Linked DNA regions of Caenorhabditis elegans. The protein of the gene in region 4 interacts with the protein of the main gene of each other region in a pairwise test. Each region holds a gene or a part of one and is shown on either strand. Other genes may lie near its edges.

Region 1 (5,212 bases), on a different chromosome or scaffold from region 4:
TTCTTCAATGTAAAACTATTGGTTTGTGACTTACAACTTTAAATTTATTAGTTTTTTAACAAGAATTTTCAGGCACAGTTCATCAATGTCTCAGCAAAGCTCAAGAACATATCATTGACTTCAAGTCGCTAGCTCAAGTGGCATTCAACGAACTGAATCCGTTCCCTCAGAAGACTATAGAAACTAAACGACAACTCTATTTGACACAATTGAAGGTAAACAGTAATATATAAATAAATTCTAATATAGCGATTATTATTTTCAGGATACTGGCCACTGTATGTAAATCCGACACGAACATTCTTGTACATCTAATCTGTATTTTCTTTCGATTTCTAGCATAATTATGTCTTCTTCACACAACTTTTTCACTATTATTTTCAAACTTCTGTGATTCTCCTTTTTCCTTATCAATTTCTTTTACGGTTTACTTCCCCCCCTTCAACCCGTTTACTTGTGCTCCGTTTTTACACATGAGACTGAAAATATCAAATACGCAACATAAAATTAATCTGCAAATCATTTACTATATATTATAACTCATAATTTACATAATAATCATGCATATTCATATTCTACAGTATATAACATTATTGCTCTGATTTCATAACCTAGAAAAGTGACAATTCAAGTGGGAAAGTGCAAAAAAACTAATCTTAAAAATGTGCATCAATAAATTATGTCGATGACTTGGCACAGGTAAACATTTGGGCAAAGTAAAACAATTTGACTGGCGTTGGGGCTTATAGTGGGTAAGGTATAATTATTAAAAATCAATTGAAAGCCGATCCAAAGTCCGCAAAATCAGCGAATCCAGCCGGTTGAGTTGATTGTCCTTGTGATGGGCTGAAATTATTTAGACTTTAAATAAATTGATACTCACTAAGACTTACGCAAAAGGATCATTGACAGGTGTTTCGCGAGCAGATTTTGGAGGAGCTGGGCGAGGTGGAGCAGGTTTTGCGGGAGCCGATTGTGCGAAGCCAGAATCCGATGGGAAGCCTCCTTGAGCAAATGGATCAGTTGGGAAAGCGGCATCAAAATGTCCAGATGAGCCGAACTGATCTACTTGGGCGAATGGATCAGCAGCAGGATCTGGAAATTGAATTTATGTTATATATTCATATTTCAAAACTTTAAGTCAGAATAAAAGTTTTCATAACTCTTTTTGTTTCTTAAAAATATAAACCTACTTGCTCTGGCGGATGCAAACGGATCAGGTGGTTGTTGAACATGATTTTGAGATGATGTTCCAGCTGTTTCTCCATAAACAGTGTCATCGGATAGCAACGATTGATCGATTACAGTAGACAATAATCGTTGTTGCGACCTCAGAATTTGAACCATTTCCTCCTCGGATTTTTCGACTGCATCTGATACTTGTTCTGTTAGTTTTGTCGTGTTCTCGATTGCAGCATCCAGCTTTTCCATTTGTATCTGATCTCTTGCTTCTTTTCGTTCTAGAGTTGTCAATTCGGCCACCTTTTGCTCTCTTTGTGATGTTTCTTTGACAATTTCTCCACGAACAGTTTTGAATTGATTATCGAGCATTTCAATTTCTTTTTTCAATTCTTCCATTTCTTTTTCATCATTTGCTTTACAGTCCTCAGCATTCTTTGCATCTTCATCAATTTGTTGCATTCGTTTCTCGGTATCTTCTTTCGTTTCTTTCTGTGCTTTACATGCTGATTCTAACTGTTCTATTTGAGTATCATAATCAGCTAATCTTCGTGTGGCTTCACCTTTTTGTCGCTCCAACTGTTTAACTGTCGACTCCAAGGTGGCCAATTCAACCTGCAGATTTTTGATACTCGAGTTCTTAATAGTCATATCAGCTTCTAGTTGTAAAACAGCTTCTTCTGCAGTTTTCCGCTCCACCAGCATTGATTGAATAGACTCTGCGAGCTGCTTCATCTCTTCGTTTTCGCCTTCCAAAGCTTCTTTAATTTCCATCGAAGTTGCTTCTGGGAGCTGTGGAGTTGAAACTGATTGAGCAGGATGATGCAAAGCTGAAGGTTCCGTAGGTGGGCGGAATGAAGGTGGAATCAGATGTAAAGGCAGTTCTGATGGGATGGACTCGCCTCGTTTTGCCATGTCAAGAAGATGCATTCTGAAAATTAATATTTAGTTACACTAGATATTTGGTAAACTTGAAAGACTTACGTCAAAGCAAATTGCTCCAAATTCAACTGTCCACATTTTTTTATATCTGCTAATGCCCAGACATGTGCTAATATCTGTGCACTCAATCCAGTAGTCATCATGGGAGCTCTCATATCCATGCCATCAACCAATCCATCCTTATTCGTATCAGTTTGAGCAAATTGATCAGCATAATCTCCTGTATTGATAGGCCATTCACCAGCAGGAAATGAGTGAATCGAGTGAGAAGCAGATATCGGAGTTGATGCACCACTGGTTCGTGATCCATTCACATGAGCCTGTGCAGAGTAAGCACGACCTGGTTGTGGTGGATATGCACGTGGCATCGTTGCAGAATACGATTGACTCATGTTCACATCATCCAATGACGTCACAGATCCTGCTCTCGATCCCATCATCGGACGTGGAGGATGTGGAGGAGCAGCGAAATTCGGTGAGCTGTGAGCATACATTGCTTTCGAAGGATGAATGAGATTTGGTGGGAGCTGTGCAGGAACCGGGTCTGATTGAAGTGATCGGTATACAAGATGAAGTGCAACAGACATTTCGATTCGATCAAGGTTTCCATCTTTGTCCTGATCCGAAAGTTCCCAAATTCGAGCCAGAGCATGAGCATCAAGTCCAGAGTTCATCAGAACCGGGCGTACGTGTGCACCAGACAATTTTCCGTTTACAGGATTCAATGATTGGAAGATGGAGTCATATTTAGCCTGAAATAATTACAAGAATATTTGATCAAATCTGTAAAGGAAAATAACTGTCAATTCTCTATTCGTGCCAATAGAAAGATTTTTTAAAAGTTTTTAATTCTCAGTTTTTGCTACCTGGTCAGTTGGTGTTATCGGCCATTGTGGTGGAAAAGCTGACGATGGATGAGCTGGAGAAGATTGTTGAGAAGAGATCGAATAAGGATGTGATGGATGTGGTGGTGGTGGCACTGGAGGAGCACGGCCAACCTGAATAATAACACTTAGAAATAGAGGAACCACTTTTCAGTCAAACCGATGGGAACGATGGTTGGAAATGATGCTGCATGTTTGCTGGTGGTACAGGTGGTGCAAACCGTGGTGGCTGAAGGGAAGAATCGTAGAGGGAAGAATTGGCGACGGGCTTCCCTGAAATATTTTGCTGTTAAGGTTACTTTTGAGCATATCGTATTTTCAACAAAATATGATTCCAAATAGGTAATAAAAGTTACCTTGTTGAGCAGCTGCGACTAGTTTAAAAGCAACAAATGCTCCTCTCTTATCTAATGATCCAACTTTTTGAGAGTCGCTAAGCTCCCATATCTGGCCTAACACAGGCATCGCCAAGTTTGATTTTTTAAGGAAAGTAGCTGCTTCTGCAGCTCCTATTCTTGGTGCTCCGTGAGGGTTCATCTGGAATATAACAATTGTTAACGTATTACAAATTGTTAAATATTTACCTCTGCGAATGCGTGATTAAAAACATCATTGTGCGGTGTAGCTATCGCGTATGAATCATCCATGTTGAAAGCTGAAACATTCCAGATAATAAAAGAAAAAAATTAAATATAGTGAAATTTAAGACTATTTTTAAATGAAACAGAAATAAAAGAAAGTTCACTAAAATGTATTGAAGATTGTTAAAAAGAAGAAGGCGTTGCGAGGAATAACGTCGTGTGTCTTCTGAATGAAAGCTCTCTCTCTGCGCCTCTCAACTACTTCCGAGCACTCTAGTACATCGATTTTCCGTCTCTTTTAAGCTTTCGTTTCCTTTTCATGTCGGTCCCTTTTCTCTTTTGGTGAACCAACGGAGGAAGAGAATGTGAAATATGCAAAAGTATTGAGTTTCAGTGGGAAGAGTCCCGGCCCTCTATGATAATGATTACAAAACAAATATATTGATTTAAATTGTAGCCAATTTTTGAAACAGGAATATATTTAACATTTTTCATTAACGGTGAGATAAAAAAATATCCCAATAACCCTATAATATATAATTATTATAAATAAACTAATTCGCAAAAGACTAAACCTGAATGACTCATTGTCGCAGTTTGTCGTCACTGTGTTTACACACACATTGTCAAGTTAATTTTATTCTGTCAAAACGGGAGAAAATAATCTGCGTATAATGCAATATTGTTTGCAATATATATTGTAATATTGTTTGCAATATATATTGCAAATAAAGCGTCTACATCGTAATTATTGAAAATAGTGATAAAATTAAATATTCAACAGATAGCATTAAAAAATCTTGCAACAGTAAATGAGAGAATTAATTAAAATCGTTAAATTAAAAACAATTAATTCTGAAAATTAAAATTTTCACTGTCGCGGACGAGTTTTCAGAAGCGCTCTATTGATAATTGTGAAAAACTTCGGCCGTGAACAACACGAGGACAATATCAAGAAACAGGCGAGCATTCGAAATATATTATTTGTAAATACAAGCAAAATAAATCAAATACACCCGTTAGTGGAATGTTTTCCTATATCATACATCTAATTTGAATATAAAACTCAAATTATCGTATCCCCATTGGCGAAATTTTCCGATTTTAACACCCAAAATACGGTACCGGGTCTCGACACGACTGATTTTTTTGAATTTAAAATCGTGTCTTTGAGGAGTACTGTAGTTTATTTCAATTTTCCAAGATTACCTTCTCATGTCCCCAGAATTAATTTAGTGAAAATCAAGGGAAACACAGGACACAATAAAACATTGAGTTTCGAAGACCTGGGACTAATTAAACAAAAGTAAGCCTGAAACCGCCTATCCTGAACCGAATGGCAATTTTGAAACTACTCCAGTTAGCTAGAAAAATATATATTTTGAGCAATAAAAATGTTTTCCGAGTAATCGAATGATAAACACAACAATGAAAATGAATAATTGTTTATTAATAATTGTTAGATTGTTAGATAGATAAAATGAAAGTTCTTTCAAATGCAGTCAGCTCCATCTTTCATCATCTCTTATCTATGAATTCAAGGCATTGCATATGATCTTGTTGATAATTCTGAAATCTAAAAAATTCGTTCTGTTAGTTCTCTAGAAACGGCTCTCGAACATACAA
Region 2 (4,994 bases), on a different chromosome or scaffold from region 4:
CTATATAATTCTCTAGGATTTTTCAATAAGGCAAGACGAGATCTCAGTGGGAGAAAAGAAAATAGAGTAACTATAAATATAAAAATTATAGATTTGGTCAAAGATGAGATCATTTCAATGATGGACACTTTTTAATTTTGAAAAGGTATCTTGTTAGAGAATTTTTTTTAAAAATCGATTTCGCCAATAAAAGTTAACAAAACAATATCTCCGTGATTTTTGAATTTGCAACTTTCCAAAAAAACTCTTTTCGAGGGCAAAAAATGAAGTGTTGAGCAGCGAGAGCCGACCACTACGGTATGTACTCGAATAAACAGAGAATCCCAAAATTGTGAGAAACGCAGGAAACGAGAGTGCTGGTGTAACGATGAAAAAGAATGGTTTTGAAAAAGAAGTACAACACAATGTTGGACATTTTTCTCACCCGCCCAGCAAACAGAAGCAACAGTGATTAGAGATGGGTGCCTTGCGCTCAGAGTTATGTCTATTGACCACAAAAGTTTTTGAAACAATAGGTATGTTAAAGCTGTTCCGCCGAGAAACATTTGGTTGCAACCATCAAATTTAAAAATTGAAATAGAATTGAAAAGATTGAACCTAGATTCTGGCACCTAATAATGAAAAAAAACACAGTGCTTTTGAGGATAATGGGGAGCCAGAGACTTAGTGAGAGGTCGGAGAGACGCACCCGGGAACTCCTAGGATTTTGACGAATGTGTTTGTCTTTCTTGTTTCGTATGTTAAAAACGAGGGATAGTGGAGAGAAAGACAAAACGAAGCAAAAAGCGCCAGGAGCAACACAGGGGAGGAGGAGGTTAAGGCACGCACGAGCATGAACACTTATCACCATGAGCACACTATTCGGGTCAAATGCGTGTTTCCCCGGTGCGCGGAACATAAGAACGACGCGGAACGCATGACGGTTAAGAACTACTGCAGAGAAATGATAAATACATCTATGTGTGGAGATGACTGGGATTTAACGAATTTCTGTAAATGTTTAGGAATACGTTTGCAGGTGGTGTCAGGCTCTCCCATTACAGTGTGGTCTACGAAAAATGCGGGAATTTTTTCCCAAAAAAATTGTGGTGTCAGCACGCTCAATCATACAAAAAAATCAGATGTCTGTGTCTTACCTCCCGCATTTTTTGAAGATCAAACTGAATTGAGACATTCTGACTCCAAGTGCGTTTGTTACACTAATATAATCTTTTCAGAAGTTGAAGTGAATTTTAACAAACTAAAGTAGAATTTTCGATATTTATTTCACTTTCATATAATACATAGTGGTGGCATAGAAAAGTTATTAGGCCTTAAAAACAGCTCCAGAGAGTACTATAATTTTATAAGATCTCCTGGGTCGTTGTAGAACTCCTATGCAGTAAAAAAATAGAATTCGGGGTAGATCCTTATGTTTTAAGCTATGAATTGGACTTCAAGACTTGCTAAAGTTGTAATTAATTAACCTATTTCTCGACTTGGACATTTTTTAGCTTTGAAGATACTCCTTTTGGAGATGACTATTTACTAGGTAAGTCTGATCGTTGTAATTCTAATGGTTTGATACATTGGTTCACTAGATCCTTAATTTACAATTTTTCAGATATTCAAAATTGTTACCAACTAAAACATACCGAATACTTAGCCAAATGGAAGTCTTTCCTCAGTTGCCAGTGCAGCGGATCTGTACCTTCCGACTTCTCGTTGTCGGGTGCACCAACCTGTAATCAAAACTGTTTGTATTTTAGGCAATTTGTTTCAATGTTGTTCAATTCGAAAATTGCTTTGTTTTTATTTCGGATTACTGATTCAACAGTCAAAGCATCACCCCCACGCATACACCGACAATTATTGTGGGAGGTGCGCGAGCGCGGGCGCCTGCTACTGCTGCTCCGAACAAACTTCGAAACAAACAATTTATGATTGCGGTAAGAGATAGAGTGAAGATAAGGAAGCAATGAAGGTTCAAAGTCAATAGGATTTTCTAAAAAAAAAATAAAGCATCAAATATGGAAAAGGAAATAACATATGATGGTCGAACATGATTATTTTGGAATATCAAACTAGATTAGTTCGTTTTTTTTTTGTCACCAAGAAATTAAAAACCTCAACCAATACTGAATTTTAGTCTTATTTTTAGGCAATAACAATTTTGAAAAAAAACTGAAAGTTAACTAAAAAGGAATATATGCAATGAACACTTTTCCTTTCATTTTGATCTTAAGACTGTATGATCAAGACAAAACCTAAGTTTGAGCCTAAACATAATTCTAAGTACAATCCTAAGCTTAAACCTAAGCATATACCTACGCCTAAACATAGGCCTAAGTCTAAGCTTATACATACGCCTAAGTCTGAGCCTAAGCCTATGCTTATACCTACACCTAAGAATAATGTTTATCTTATAGTTAGGCTTAAACGGATTACACTGCACCCTAAGTCTGAGCCTTAAACTACGACTAAGCCTTAGTCTCGTTATGCATCATTTTTAACAAGAAACAAAAAATTCCTACAACTTTAACCTGAAAACCTCTAAAAAAAACCTACTCATTAAAAAAAATTTCAAAAAAAAGGAAAATCCTCATAAAAATGAAGGAGGAGTAAAGAGGAAAAGAAAAGAGTTTCAAATTCTATCCGTCAAGCCCCCTCTCTCGCCGCGCAGAGCCTCCAGCAGCCACACATACAGTTTGTGTGTGCGTCGGCGGAAGTTTCAAGAGGCTTCTATTCGATCGAAGGAGAGATGTGTTAAGCGAGAGAAAACTCTTCGGCAGAGACACTATTCGATTTGGCGTAGAGCGCAGGACGCAAATTTTTTGGTGGATCTCATTAGTTGAGATTTTTTGGGTTGAGAGTATAGACAGGGGCTTACTTTTCCAGTCGGAAGCTGGTCCATTGATCTGTACTTCTTAGGCTCATTCACCTTTGAGGTGTGATCCAAATATCGATTTTTGCGCATTTTGATCAGCCATCCAGAATCTCCCGGAGATATTGGAGAAGCTTGAGGTTGCTGAAAACTCATTTATTGTTCAACGAATGCTCCGTTTTGAAAACCTGGAGTACCCGAAAACATCCCCGTCTACTCACCGGATTTAGCTGCTCGAATTGTGACGGCGTAGGCAAGACTGACAAATCGCTCATCGATTGGGAAGTTTTCTGAATTTCGGCTGACGGCTCTCTACACACTATTACGCTTCACACCACACCGTGTAGTTTCAGGGAAGTTGGTCAGTAGGTAGTAGGAGGATCCATGTGTTGTCGTTTCCAAGCCAGGGATATCTTTTTTAAAGGAGGGACAACACAGTATAACATGCACATAAGGACAAACAGGAAGACAAACAAACATGCAAGAAAGGGGATATAGACTTACTCTTTTCAGCGTCTCGATTCTCTGGAAACAAAATTATAAAAAATGTTCTAGTGTGAATAAGGTAACCCTAAACCAATGACATCTCTTAATTTTGTCAACTGGGTAATCGGGTCGATTTTTGAAAATGTATTTAACAATCTTAAAATAAATTTTTTTTTTCAAGGGTTCGACAAAGTTTGTTGGTCATCACTTGTAGGCTTTGTGTAATACATTTGTGATGTATTGCCAAATTTTCCTTATATTTTCTAATTTAACTATTTGAATACCTAGATTTATGCGGAACTCCGAATTACTTTTTAACTATACTTTTCATGCAGTGCTATGCATGCTCACCTGTTTCATGGTTTCAAGCTCCCTCAGGCTCTCATCATTCTTCTTTGGTCCAGGCCACCCTGGTTTGTTCCATGGCTGATTGGCTTCGTTTTCCTTTGCCTAGAACGTTTAATTTTATAATTTCATGACTTTATTAAATTAAAATCACCTTCAAATACTCTCTGAGCCGGGATGCTTCCATCTCACGATGGCGATCGACACTCTCGGCGAGATAGTTGCTGGTGGTGATTGGACGCGATTCACTGCTCTGAACATGATATAAAATTTTATTTCAGTCTTCAAAAGTACGGCTTACTCTGAACCGACGTTGCTCGAGCGGATCAAGTTTGATCTTCGACTTGCTATGCTCACTTGGGAAGTCTCCGGCTAGGTTCCGGCGGGGATCCGGAATTCTCGTGGAGATATATGGCATGTTAGCATTTGTGATAACCTGTAAGAGAAAAGTATATTGAGACCAACAAATAAGTTTAAAATAATGAGTCACTTATACAGAGCCTAATGATTTTGTAAAATAAACGTTTCTCGCGACGCAATCTGGCGCTGATCACTGTGATTTTTTTGTCGTAAGTTGCACTTTCTTCTAAAAGTTCCCTAAAGTTAATTGTATTTACACGATTTTTGAAAAACTACAAAATTTGAACTTTCTCTCTTTCCTCCCTCCCCCTTAACTAAATTGATGCGGATCTCAAATGCGGAAGGAGAAAGCCAGGTTGTTTGTTGATTGCCTCGTTACCCTCCACAAATGCTCAACTATTTTCCAGGTTAGTGACCCCATGATCGGCTTTCTTAGGTAGTGAGACTGTTTTTCTCTGGCTCCGTGCTTGCGCGCGCGCACGCAGAAGTTTACTTTCTAACGTTGTAGGAAAAAATGACCGTGTGTGCTCAAAGGAACACACATCGCGATCAGGTAGACTAGGCCTAAAGTATTTAAGGAGTCAACTGGGAACTTTGAGAAAGAAACCGTTTAATTTTCCCTTTTCCTCAAATTTTTCTTTGGTCGCCGTAACTTCTAGATTTTCCAGCAAACGATGAGGTTGCTCATTGTGCTCTCCGCACTACTTATCCCTTGTTTGGCGCAGCTTTCCGAAGACTCATCGGAACTAGAATTTGGTGGGCAACAAGCTCAACGTCCATCTCCCGATGGACCATTGTTCCCTAGATTCTTGATGCATGTGCCTAGATTTGCTAGAAAAGAGTTCTTCGACATTGTTAGTAACGATCAACTCTCTCAAGATCAGCAAAATGAGCAGCTCACAATCTGGGCCAAGGCATTCAATGTGACGGTAAGTACTAC
Region 3 (6,640 bases), on a different chromosome or scaffold from region 4:
AAATAGGACTTTTTGGTTTTTTGTTGGTATTTTAACGAAAAAATGATTTCAAAATGTGGTTTTCAGTGGTTTTTAACGTTTTTCAATGACTTTTTTCCTAAAAAAAAGTTCAGAATAAATCGAAACTTTTCTTTGTTTTTTTTCACAAATTTCAATTTCTTGTTTTTTCGTTGCTCACTTACACTAAAAAATACAAGCGTCGGCGCAGCAGTAATCTTGAAATTCAACGAAATTCCGGGCAAAGCTTCAGCGTCAATGAAGGCGGCACGAAGCGGCAGAGCAATTTCAGCGAGCAAATCATCCAGTAGCTGATTAACTTGCTCACAGCTTGGAGCCCACGATGCGTAGAAATGAAGAACAGCTGGAGATGGTTCCTTAATGAACGCAGCAACCTCCTCTCCTGACTTGATTTCTTGAATTGGCATTCTGGAATTTTTTGGCTGGCAATGGTAAAAAGCTAGAAATTTGAATAAAAAAATTAAAAAAATATACGAGAAAGGTAAAATAAACCTTGAAATTTCAATAATGAATAATGAAAAATATGTTTAAAAATTGAAAATATATAATAATTTTCAGAAAAAATATAAAAAAAAACAATGAAATACGGATCGTTTTGAGATCATAATATAGAAAAGAGATGGAATGCATAATACAGGAGAAGATTTCAATGAAAATAAAAATAAATAAATAGAAGAAGTGGATGGAATTATAGTACACATATTCGACAGCTCAATTCTGAAGGTCTCAACGGGATATTGAAGGAGGTGGAAGGCAACCGAATTTTTTGTCCCAAGCCGCGTAGGCATCCAATTGAGAATCGTCGACTGTTGGCCGAACGACACGAGCTGCTTCGGCGAAATCCATTACAGTAACGGCACGAATCTGAAATTTTCATCGATTAGTTGATTAAAACCGGAGCATTTGATGTTTCAGAGCTCGAGTGTTTATCTAATTTTTATGATGACCGAGTGCAAAAATAGAAAATAAATGTGACAATTCGTACGGCAAATGGTAAATAAAAAATAATAAGATTCGTCAGTCATGTGAGAGAGTTGCGAAATTGTTTGTTGTTGTGGCATGACATTTCATAAATTTTCGAAAAGTGTTCATTTTCGGAACATGGAGGTGTTTTATTATGTGGACGGAGGAAAATGAGATTTTTTAAATTGAGGTGCAATCGCGCTCTAACGCTAAACATTGGGTCTCGTTATGTATAAGAGGAACATTAAATTTATATAATGCGTATTGTGCAACATATTTGACGCGCAAAATATCTCATAGCGAAAACTACAGTAACTCTCTAAATGTCTAATGTAACTCTTGTGTCGATTTACGAGATTCATTGTTTCGAAAATCGTACCCGTAAATCGACACACGCGCTACAGTAGTCATTTAAAGAATCACTGTAGTTTTCGCTACGAGATATTTTGCTCGTCGAATATGTCGTGCAGTACGCATTCTCCGAATTCAGTGTTACCGTAATATTGGCGGCAAATTCAAGTTTTTAATTCGATTTTACTGAAATCATCCGTTTATATGCATTTTTTGATTTATTTTCAGTTGCTTTCTGGTTTTCATGCCGAAATGATTCTTGAAAATGCACGTGAAGCTTCGATATTAACGCATAATCAAAAGCAATGGGATTTTTTTTCTTCCTAACGAGACCCAGCATTATGAGGCGGGGCAATTTCAATTGGCCGTGGAGCGCGATTACACCGATCACAAGTGTTTGATATTAATTCAGAATCCTCACATCATCCTTATCAATCGTCTCAATATCGTCTCCAATGTCTCTGATAGGACCCATCGCTGCTTCAGTGCACAATTGCCTCATGTCAGCTCCAGAATAGCCGTCTGTAAGCTCTCTAATCCGCTCCAAATTATGATTTGTGATATCATGACGCGTGCCTACAAGTAGATTCTGCACAATTTGTGTGCGCGACTCTGGCTCCGGAAGCGCAATGTACAGTCGCTTCTGGAAGCGTCGACGAGCAGCTTCATCCAACTCTTGTGGCCGATTTGTGGCACCCAATACAAGAAGCCGTTCATCTGGAGCCGTATTCACACCATCCAACTGTACCAGGAACTCTGTCTTGATGCGCCGTGAAGATTCGTGTTCCGATTCCGACCGGGATGATAGTAACGAGTCGATCTCATCGATGAAGATAACACTCGGAAGTTTCAGACGAGCAACTGAGAACAGAGCACGAACAAGCTTTTCACCTTCTCCAACCCATTTTGAGGTTAACGACGATGCTGAAATATTGAAGAAAGTGGCTTTGCACTGGGAAGCGACACATCTCCCGATCATTGTTTTTCCGGTTCCTGGTGGTCCGAATAGAAGAACACCTTTCGGTGGAGCACGGATTCCGGTGAAGACGTCACTGAAAAAAATTATAATTGTCAATTAAATTTTTGGAGGATTTTTTAAATTGCTTTATTAGACTCAAAATTGTCTGAAAACACCGAATTTTATAATGAAACTTCTTGAAAAATTCTCAAAAAAAAGTTATGACGGCTCAAAAAATGGCTTAAAATTAGTTAAAATTTGAAATTTGACTTGTCAGCGGATGGAAACAATTTTTTTGAAATCACCGTAAAATTTTGAGTATACAGGTCAATTATCTTGCGTTTTCAACTCGATTTAGGTATTTTAAAGTCGATGGACGGCGAGATTAAAATTGTTTTTTTTTACCAAATCTCGCCGTCCATCGACTTTAAAATACCTAAGTGAAGTTGAAAACGCAAGATAATTACATTACATACTCAAAATTTGACGGTGATTTAAAAAAAATTGTTTCCAGCCGCTGCGACATTGACAAGTCGGTCAAATTTCAAATGTTAACTAATTTTAGGACATTTTTTAAGCCTTCATAACTTTTTTTTGAGAAGTTTCCAAGTAGTTTCATCATAAAATTCGGTGTTTTCAGATAATTTTGAGTCTAATAATGCAATAAAAAATTCGACTACACCACCTTTAAAGGAGGTTTTTTTGCGTGTATAGACTAAAAGCACAAAATAAGCGTTCAAAACCTCGTAAAAATAGCTAATTTTATCTAAAATCTCGAATTTCGTCTATTTTTCCTGTCCGCATCAGCTGAAACACTATTTTATTGAATTATCATCCTTTTTAGCATCTTTTGGTGGTTTATATCACATTTTTTCGTCAATTTAGGTTCATTTAAGTCGATAAAAAATTAAACAATTAAATTAAAAACACCTATCGGCTTTAAGTGTACCTACGTCAACAAAATAATGTGAAATAAACCACCAAAAAAAGTGGAAAAGTTGACAAAAAACGAGATTTTAACCAATTTCAGCCATTTTTGAGCACTTTATGAGTCTGAGCAAGCTAAAAACCCGAAAAACCCTTTTTTTCTCCTTTCAGAACGTACGGTCTTTTAAATGGCAGTACAACAATCTCCCGTAATGCTTTTTTCGCTCCTTCCAATCCAGCAACATCAGCCCATCCGATCTCATTGTTCACAGACATAATTTCCGATTCAATCAATGAAATGATATTTTCATCAAAGTGCTTTAGCGTTGGCTCAGCTCTCAATCCACTCATTTTTTCATCTTTTCCACCTCCTTCCGTATCCATTCCCATCGCCTTTCTGATGAGCGGATTGGAGCATCGTTTCGGGATATCCGGTGCTCTTCTGGCCGGTGGTATCCCTGCCAAGCTTCCAATCGATTGGGAACTGGATTGACGATCCAGAGGCACTTGGAACTTGCTATTCTGTGGATCCTGGCCGGCTGCAGTCGTAAATGATGGATAGAGGGTTCCGAGGGTATTTTGGATAGCTGCTCGGTTTTTCGTAGGTGCTCTGAAACGACGCTTTCATTTTTAAAAAAATCGATTAATATTACGGGAACACAAAATTCTGAGAATGCGTACTGCGCAACATATTCGACGCGCAAAATATTCTTTTTATGACTACTGTAGCGCTTGTGTCGATTTACGGGGGCTCGATTCTCGGAAAAAAAACAAAATTTTCGAATTTTGACAGCGATACTCAATTTTTCTTCGTTTTTTTTTCGAATACCATGGTCATTTTTGTGCTTATTTTTAATATTTTATCTATTAATAAATTACTTTAATTGCAAAAAACTCCAATTTTGGCGTTTTTTTGATGAGTAAGCTCATACAGGCGTATTTTTATATTATTTCCCGCCTATTACGGCAATAAACGGGAAATAGTGTTAAAAAAACGCTTGTGGAGTATTAGAGTATTATCATCAAAATGACGCGAATATTGGAGTTTTTTCAATTAAAATAATTTATTAATGGAAAAAAAATATTAAAAATAAGCACAAAAATGATAAAGGAATAGGAAAAAAACGAAGAAAAATTGAATATCGCTATCAAAATTCGAAAAATGTGTCTTTTTCCGAGAATCAAGCCCGTAAATCGACACAAGCGCTTCATTTAAAGAATTACTGTAGTTTTCTTTTTCGCTACGAGATATCTTGCGCGTCAAATATGTTGTGAAATACGCATTCTCAGAATTTCGTGATCTCTTAACGAACCTGGTCTTCTTAAAGTGCGGATTTGAAGCCACCTCGATGCCTTTCAGCGTATTTTCATGCATTTGCCGAATAAAATTCGGATCAGTTCTTCTAGCATTTGTAGGATCCACTATATCGCAGATTTTGTCTCTGATTTTCGTCACTTTATCGTCGCTTCCAAAATCGAAGCCTCGCATTGTGAACGGCTCTTCTCGGCGTTTTTCCTCCTTTGGTTTCGGAATTTCGCCAAGTTTGAAGCTGCTTTTCTCGCCAAGAAACGGTCGACTTTTGAGCTTCCGGGTGTCTTGTTTTTGTGAAAACGACACATCAACGGTTCTATCTTCGTCTTCATCAATTATTATCCCGTCTAGCTCGTCATCCAGACCATTTTGTTGAGAACGAGATTTGAATGGAGGCTGCTGCTGAGCTGAATCCGAAGGTGTCTCCACGACTATTTTTCGACGGGGTTTTCCGATAAAATACGGACTAATCCCATTGCGAGCAAGAGCCGTCGGTGGGTAAAGATCATCGTTATTTTCGCCGGTTTCGGGCCGTTTTCTCATTCCACTGGTCACATTGAGTTTTACCCGTTTTGGAGAATACATAATCTGAAAATAGTGTTTTTTGACCTGAAAACCCCCACAAAAAAATATTCAAAAAGACTGGGGTAACTTGAACAACTTAAAGGCAAAGGAATAATTGAGCTTAAAATTTATATCGTCTAATAAAATAAATCATAAACAATCGGAAGTGAGAGAAGAAAGGTATGGAATGTATCCAAATGGAATTATTCGAATACTGTTGTGCGATCATTTGTCTACTTTTGCTGCTTTCCATTTTCCCATGTGGTGATCTGAAAAATTCGTGTTAAAACTTGAATAATAAGGCGTATTTAATCACCTTGAGAGTTGCCTCTGGCTTCTTAACAGCGGCCTTTCCTCCGACTTGCTTGGTGCACTTGCGGGTGATCTCGGCAGCGATTTGCGAGTAACGCACGTAGTTGAGTCCAGCGGCTCTCCAGGCGACCATTTTCTGAAAAACATGAATAAAAAAGAAATATTGGAAAAAAGCGACTAATTTTGCACAAGAAAACAAAGAAAAACCGCAATTTTACTAATGAAATCTATCGATTTTAGCAATTAGAAAAGCTATTTTACAATTTGCGATTAAAAAACATTAATTTCATCTAAAAACAGCCAAAAATCAATGAAAAATCACAATTCTACTCTTGAAACAAAAAATGTGTCGTTTCTGCAGCAATTTATCGATTTTCGAAATTATAAAAGCTATTTTACAATTTGCGATTAAAATGTACATTAATCCCATCTAAAAACTAACAAAAAACCAAGAAAAACCACAATTTTACTGATGAGACAAAAAAAAACATTTTTTCTCAGAATTGCCTGTCGTTTCTGCAGCAATTTATCGATTTTAGCAATTATTTTACCAATTTTAATTAAAATAAACATTAATTCCATCTAAAAACAACCAAAAATCAATGAAAAAACGAACAATTTTCTTTAAAAACAGCTAAAAATGGCACAGTCCATGTCGGAAAAATATAAGTTAAAGGCGCATAGACTTTCGCACTCTGGTGGGTCTCGCAACGACATGAAGGAGGCAAACGCGCGAAATTCGAACGGACGACGCTGCCATCTGCCGCACATTCCTTCACTCTCTCGCTCATTTATTATCGGTTTTGTGCTACAAGAGCAGCTTTTTTCGCGATTTTTTCAGTTTTTCCAATTAAAAAATAAAATTTCCATCATTTCAGCCCGGCTCTATAATCCTATAATCTCACTCACCATGAAAACCACCACTTACAACACAGACTGGGCTGCCGAGAAGACGAAAATTCGCAGTTTCTTCGACGAATACTATGTGGACAATGAGGACGGATCTGGAAAGGTATTCCCGAATTTGGTGTATAAATGAGTATTTAAATTCAACTTTTAGGCATTCCCATATCGTGATCAAGTCTTTGAAATTGCTCGCCGCGACAAGCAGGCAATCGTTGTGAATGTTGACCATATTAAGGAATCTGATATTCCAGATGCTCTTGAACTCTCAGAAGCCATTACTTCCAATACAAAGAGATACGAAGTCCTGTTCAAGGACACAATTTCGGATA
Region 4 (4,649 bases):
ACATATGTTCCACGAAAACATCAACTCACCTATCATTTTTGAATCCTTGTTCTTTATAAGACGGAGTTGATGTCATCGGCGATCGATTTTGCTTCTCCTCAAAGCTGGCTCCAAAAAATAAATTGCTCGGCGATTGACTCGCCAAGTTGGGTGATGACTTGGAAAGGTCAATTGCCACTGGTTTATGCTTCCTTCGAATAGTTCCATAATGATCCGTCGAGCTTGTAGAGTAGGGAGCCGGGGATTTTGATTTTACGAGAAGTTGGGAACTTTCCAAATCGATAGATCTCTTGATTTCACTCTCTTTTTCTGGAGAAAATGGTGGAAAATTTGTTGGTTCAAATTGTTTAGCAACAGGAGCCACGTGGCCAAACGGTGTGAGTTCTGAATTGAATATTGAGCTTGATGGAGGCTGAGGCTCAGGTTGTTGATTCTGCTGATTATTTCCATTTTTCAAATTTTCAGTCGATGACGTCATCACTTTTTCAGACAAAGATACACACGGTGTCTCACTTCCCTCTTTCAATTCATTTTTCTCTTCCATTAACTTTTTCCTATATTGCTCATAGAGATGCCGTTGCTCGGCTGCCGCAGAAAATCCAGCAATTTCTGAAGATTCTCCAAATGTCGAGATACACGAGGAAATAATTGATGCACTGTCATCAATGTCGAATTCTCCGAGGTGATGACGTGGATCGAGCGCCACGTCATACGGGATTCGGTAGGACGTTTTTTGAGATTGCTGGGGTTGAGAGGGGGCTTTGGAGCTCTGTAGGACCTGAGCCTGAAGGGCTTGAGCAGCAGAGTGTGGAGGCTTTGTGGAAGGAGGCACTGGTGGTTTCGACTCATTGTGCTTTACTTGACTGTAACTGGCCGGTGGAACCTGGAAGTTGCAAAAAATAATTCTGCTGTTTCAACTTCATAACATAATGCGAAGATGTTAATAGAGTCGGTCTTTCAAATTTCCCCGCTTCGAATTTCAAGTAACTGATTTTGGCATTCCGTTTGCAAGAAATTGGAGGTATCAACACCGAATTGAATAAAACTTTATAATTTTATTGATTTTCCTGGTTAGAATCAGTTCTGCGCGGAAAATCTTTTCAGCAAATGTACAAACCTACGTATTTTAGTTTGGTGATTATATTTTTTTTGTATCAAAAATCATTACAGAAATGTAGGACAAGGTTTGTTCTATGAGTTCTATCTGATAATGATATTTATTTTTTCTGCAAAGTTCGAAAATTATCTCAAATAGTGCCTGAGTTAGGGTTTGCCGTGAAACTTTTTCAGCAAATGACAACTTTCAGACACTATTTGACCCAATTTTCATAGAAAATTGAAAAAAAAAAAATAGAAACCACAATTTTTTCTGTTTCAGGAATTTTATGTCATGACAATAGAACAAGCGAAAAATGTTTATTGGTTTCAATCTTCAGTGTGTCGCAACAAGTCTAAGTAAGAGAATAAGCACTAAATTTTTTAGAACAACATGAAATGTCTTGGCGATTTTTCAGGTCATTTGCATTTGCAAGTTTTAAAAAGTACTCAAAACATTTTTCCTATAAGTTTTCCTATCACAAAAAAATAGTAATGTAGTTTTCATAGACAACACGAAAAAGTATTTTCATTGTTTTAAATTTTTGCAAATCTTCAAACTGTACACAAAATTTTAACGTTTTTTAAAACAATTTTGCGTAAATTTTTATCTACATAAGGATTTTTCATAAACTTCCCGGAATGTACAATTTTCAAAATAGAACTGAAAAGTTGTGTTTTCGGAAAATTAAAAAGAAAGTTCTACTGTTTCGTGAAAGCCATTTAGGACATTTACAATTTTCCGGTTTGATCTGATCGGTTTGTTCTTTTTTAACTTAAAAACTGTTAAATTTTTGAAATTTCGTATATAGAAGCTATTATTACTTGTGAATTGTATTTCTGAAAAGTAGAAAACTTCAAAACTCAAAATAATTTTGCTCATATTTTACAATTTTTAGTGAAGCTTTAGTCGATAATAATTTCTAGAAAAAAACTCACGTGTTTCACTCATAGCTTGTAAAAAAAGCCAAAAAGAAAATAATATCAGTAAAAAATGGTCAGTAATAACTAAATTTAACTATTTCAGCACATTGTTTTCAGTTTGAAAAGTTCGTTGCTTTATTGTATCGCTGTTTTTTTCAAAATAAAACTCACTCCTTGAAAATATTTATTTGGATTGACAGGACCATCAAGTACTCTTCCCATATTATGCTTGTTAAGATGTGGATCCACATATCCATTTGGTTCGTATACTTTTACATTTTTGGCCCAGGAAGGAGTTGAGTCTGGAATTTATTATTTTATTGAACATCAAAACATTTGGATTTTTTGAATATTGCTGGTTAGGAGAGACATCAGGAGTTGTTTTCCGCAAAATCAGAAAAAATTATACAAAAAAAACAGTTTTAGATAGTTTATAAGACTACTTCAAAACTTTATTGTTACTGTTTGCAGCATTCGGACAGAAACCAAAATATCTTACTATTAATAGAAAAAATGACAAAAATCTAATTGCAAAATTGCTGCTTCATCTTCCAGGTCCGTCGAGGTACCAGGTCTCAGCCAATCGTGTATTTGTTGACTATCTTGTTGACTAACATTTTTTACAGTTTCAAGGAATTCATATGAGCTATGTGTTACTTTCCGAAAACTATTATTTCGTAGCTTAATACATAGAACGCCTAGAAAAACAAAACTCACCAACAGGCGGAGGCGCTGGTTTCTGATATCTGGAACTATTTCCAGTTGGTGTCTTCATATCCAACTGCCCATGTATCACATTTCTCAACGCCGCCACATTTCCCTTCGGTGAGAATTTATCAGAATCTTCAAAGGTGTCAAAGTTGTAGGCATCTGCTGCAGGATTTAGATATTGACCAGATGGCTGTTGTGGTTCTGATGAGTTCTGGAAATTAATTAGGGATTGTGGAGTAGATTAATTGAAAGCTCTTACCGCCAGGTTTGACCCGAATGGATGAGGATGATGCATCATTCCTGGAATATGGGAGTTTGAAGAATTGTATAACAAAATAAAGGAAAGAATAAATGAAAAATGTGAAATACGGAAGACTAATATGTTCTGTCAGAAATGGGATTTTTTTTTGAAATTTGTACTGTAACAGTTTTTATAGTTCTCGAACTTTACCCAATCTGACAATAATTGCAGATTCATGGGATGTACACTATTCAAGAATATTTTCCATTTTCCAGAAAACTTCAGACATCTTGAAAATTTGTTTTAATTTTCAAAATATTTTCTCACTAGATTTTTAAATTCTATAAAGATTTTGAACCCAATTTCCAACTAAATTTGACATTTAGGAGCGCCAGTAGAATGCATTTTTGGAATTATAAGGATGGTACTTAAATGACCATATTGTCAATTTTTGTTTTGACTGTTTCATTTAAGTGTTAAAGCTCCCACAATGGATTCACGTTCAATTGACGCAATCCTTAAAATCATAATTTTTGTTGAAATGTTAATGCTTGTGTTAAAGTTATTGTTTTTAAAGTTTTGAACACCTTTTGAGACTTGAATGAGAATGTATCTAGTTTTTAAAAATAGCTTCCAAGACCGGGTAAAATGTGCACGGCAATCACAATTTTGCCATTGCTGGAATTGAAAAATGCTAATTTTTGTTTTCTTAAAATAGAAAAGACACTTGTAATTTTTTAATTTTAAAAATGAAAATAACATTCTGGAACAAGTGTTTAAATTTTATACTGTTTCTTTGAAATGGTAAAGCTTTTACAACATTTTCAAATCTATTCCACCTTTGTCCATGAGTATGTAAGACGTACAACTTTTGAAAAATGTTGTCTGGTCACTTGAGCAGTTTTTTCAAGAATAGTAAAACTTTTAGGTTAAAAATTTTTTATAACAGGGAAAAGGCCACATTTCATCTATCAGAATTTGGGGTTCGACCCAAAAAATTATTTCTACGATTTTTTACACTTTCATTAAGTTTAAATAATTAGAACTCAATGATTGTAGGAGTTGCAAAATCAGTTATGTATTTCACTGAAAACTAAAATTATTGAAAATTAAAATAATAAAAATTACCGTTTCACAGTTGTAATAGTTAACAAGCCCGAAACAGTACTAGGTTTTACGAAAAGTTGTTATTTTGAAATACGACAAAAAAACCAAAATAAGAAAAATTTTATCAGTAAATCGAGTGATATTATTGTTGCGAGAGCCACACTTAGAGAAACTAAGAATGTCCCTCATTGCGTCTTCTGTCCCCGGGACACGAAACAGAATCACATTCTCTCAGTGTCTGCGTCTCTCTATCTTTTTGCTCACTATATACATGACTTTACACACTTTTCGTCTTTCTTCTTTCAATTTTTGTTAAGCAATTGCCGGATGGACCTGCTGAAGAGAAAGAGAATGAGAGGAGAGAAGATGGAACTGCTCTCAAGTGACCAGACAAACTTTTTCATCACTATGATCATGATCATCACACCTTTGATTTAGTACTCTTTTGGCCAGAAGTAACCGTTGTATTTAAAAAAAGGTGGAGCGCAAGCTTATTAGTTTCAAAGGAAGAACAGAAACTTTAACACTTCATAGAAACAGTTAAAATTTGCAAAAAATTTGTTCAAAAAAA

Evidence for each region.
Region 1: the proteins of sorb-1 (region 4) and ehs-1 interact in a two-hybrid assay, tested with the Caenorhabditis elegans proteins (3 studies listed by BioGRID).
Region 2: the proteins of sorb-1 (region 4) and pat-12 interact in binary tests that used the Caenorhabditis elegans proteins (3 or more experiments, as listed by UniProt).
Region 3: the proteins of sorb-1 (region 4) and figl-1 interact in binary tests that used the Caenorhabditis elegans proteins (3 or more experiments, as listed by UniProt).

The regions. Positions count from the first base shown.
Region 1 is NC_003280.10:5,819,160-5,824,371, reverse strand, and holds ehs-1 (Eps15 (endocytosis protein) Homologous Sequence), read right to left. Parts: upstream 3,661-5,212; 5' UTR 3,653-3,660; coding exon 3,590-3,652; intron 3,543-3,589; coding exon 3,362-3,542; intron 3,279-3,361; coding exon 3,166-3,278; intron 3,120-3,165; coding exon 2,988-3,119; intron 2,874-2,987; coding exon 2,164-2,873; intron 2,111-2,163; coding exon 1,194-2,110; intron 1,096-1,193; coding exon 894-1,095; exon of another isoform or gene 847-893; coding exon 774-846; 3' UTR 510-773; downstream 1-509. Other genes in the region: tbc-2 (PH domain-containing protein), read left to right, coding at 1-21, 73-215, 266-286.
Region 2 is NC_003281.10:735,960-740,953, forward strand, and holds the start of pat-12 (Protein pat-12), read right to left. Parts: upstream 3,020-4,994; coding exon 2,870-3,019; intron 1,722-2,869; coding exon 1,635-1,721; intron 1-1,634. Other genes in the region: idpp-1 (SXP/RAL-2 family protein Ani s 5-like cation-binding domain-containing protein), read left to right, coding at 4,729-4,983.
Region 3 is NC_003283.11:4,340,883-4,347,522, forward strand, and holds figl-1 (Fidgetin-like protein 1), read right to left. Parts: upstream 5,118-6,640; 5' UTR 5,115-5,117; coding exon 4,531-5,114; intron 3,828-4,530; coding exon 3,396-3,827; intron 2,385-3,395; coding exon 1,754-2,384; intron 883-1,753; coding exon 745-882; 3' UTR 549-744; downstream 1-548. Other genes in the region: glrx-3 (Glutaredoxin 3), read right to left, coding at 183-425; hpo-18 (ATP synthase subunit epsilon, mitochondrial), read right to left, coding at 5,327-5,362, 5,410-5,538; mcm-7 (DNA replication licensing factor MCM7), read left to right, coding at 6,316-6,417, 6,466-6,640. UniProt on the Caenorhabditis elegans protein: Has a role in spindle assembly which acts in the progression through mitosis during embryogenesis. Required for fertility.
Region 4 is NC_003282.8:13,748,715-13,753,363, reverse strand, and holds the start of sorb-1 (SH3 domain-containing protein), read right to left. Parts: upstream 3,032-4,649; 5' UTR 3,029-3,031; coding exon 2,990-3,028; intron 2,942-2,989; coding exon 2,737-2,941; intron 2,712-2,736; exon of another isoform or gene 2,691-2,711; intron 2,506-2,690; exon of another isoform or gene 2,482-2,505; intron 2,322-2,481; coding exon 2,191-2,321; intron 2,180-2,190; exon of another isoform or gene 2,159-2,179; intron 2,105-2,158; exon of another isoform or gene 2,081-2,104; intron 1,868-2,080; exon of another isoform or gene 1,847-1,867; intron 1,609-1,846; exon of another isoform or gene 1,588-1,608; intron 1,575-1,587; exon of another isoform or gene 1,554-1,574; intron 1,438-1,553; exon of another isoform or gene 1,417-1,437; intron 975-1,416; exon of another isoform or gene 954-974; intron 884-953; coding exon 30-883; intron 14-29; exon of another isoform or gene 1-13. UniProt on the Caenorhabditis elegans protein: Required for organization of sarcomeres in body wall muscles and for maintaining normal mitochondrial position in myocytes.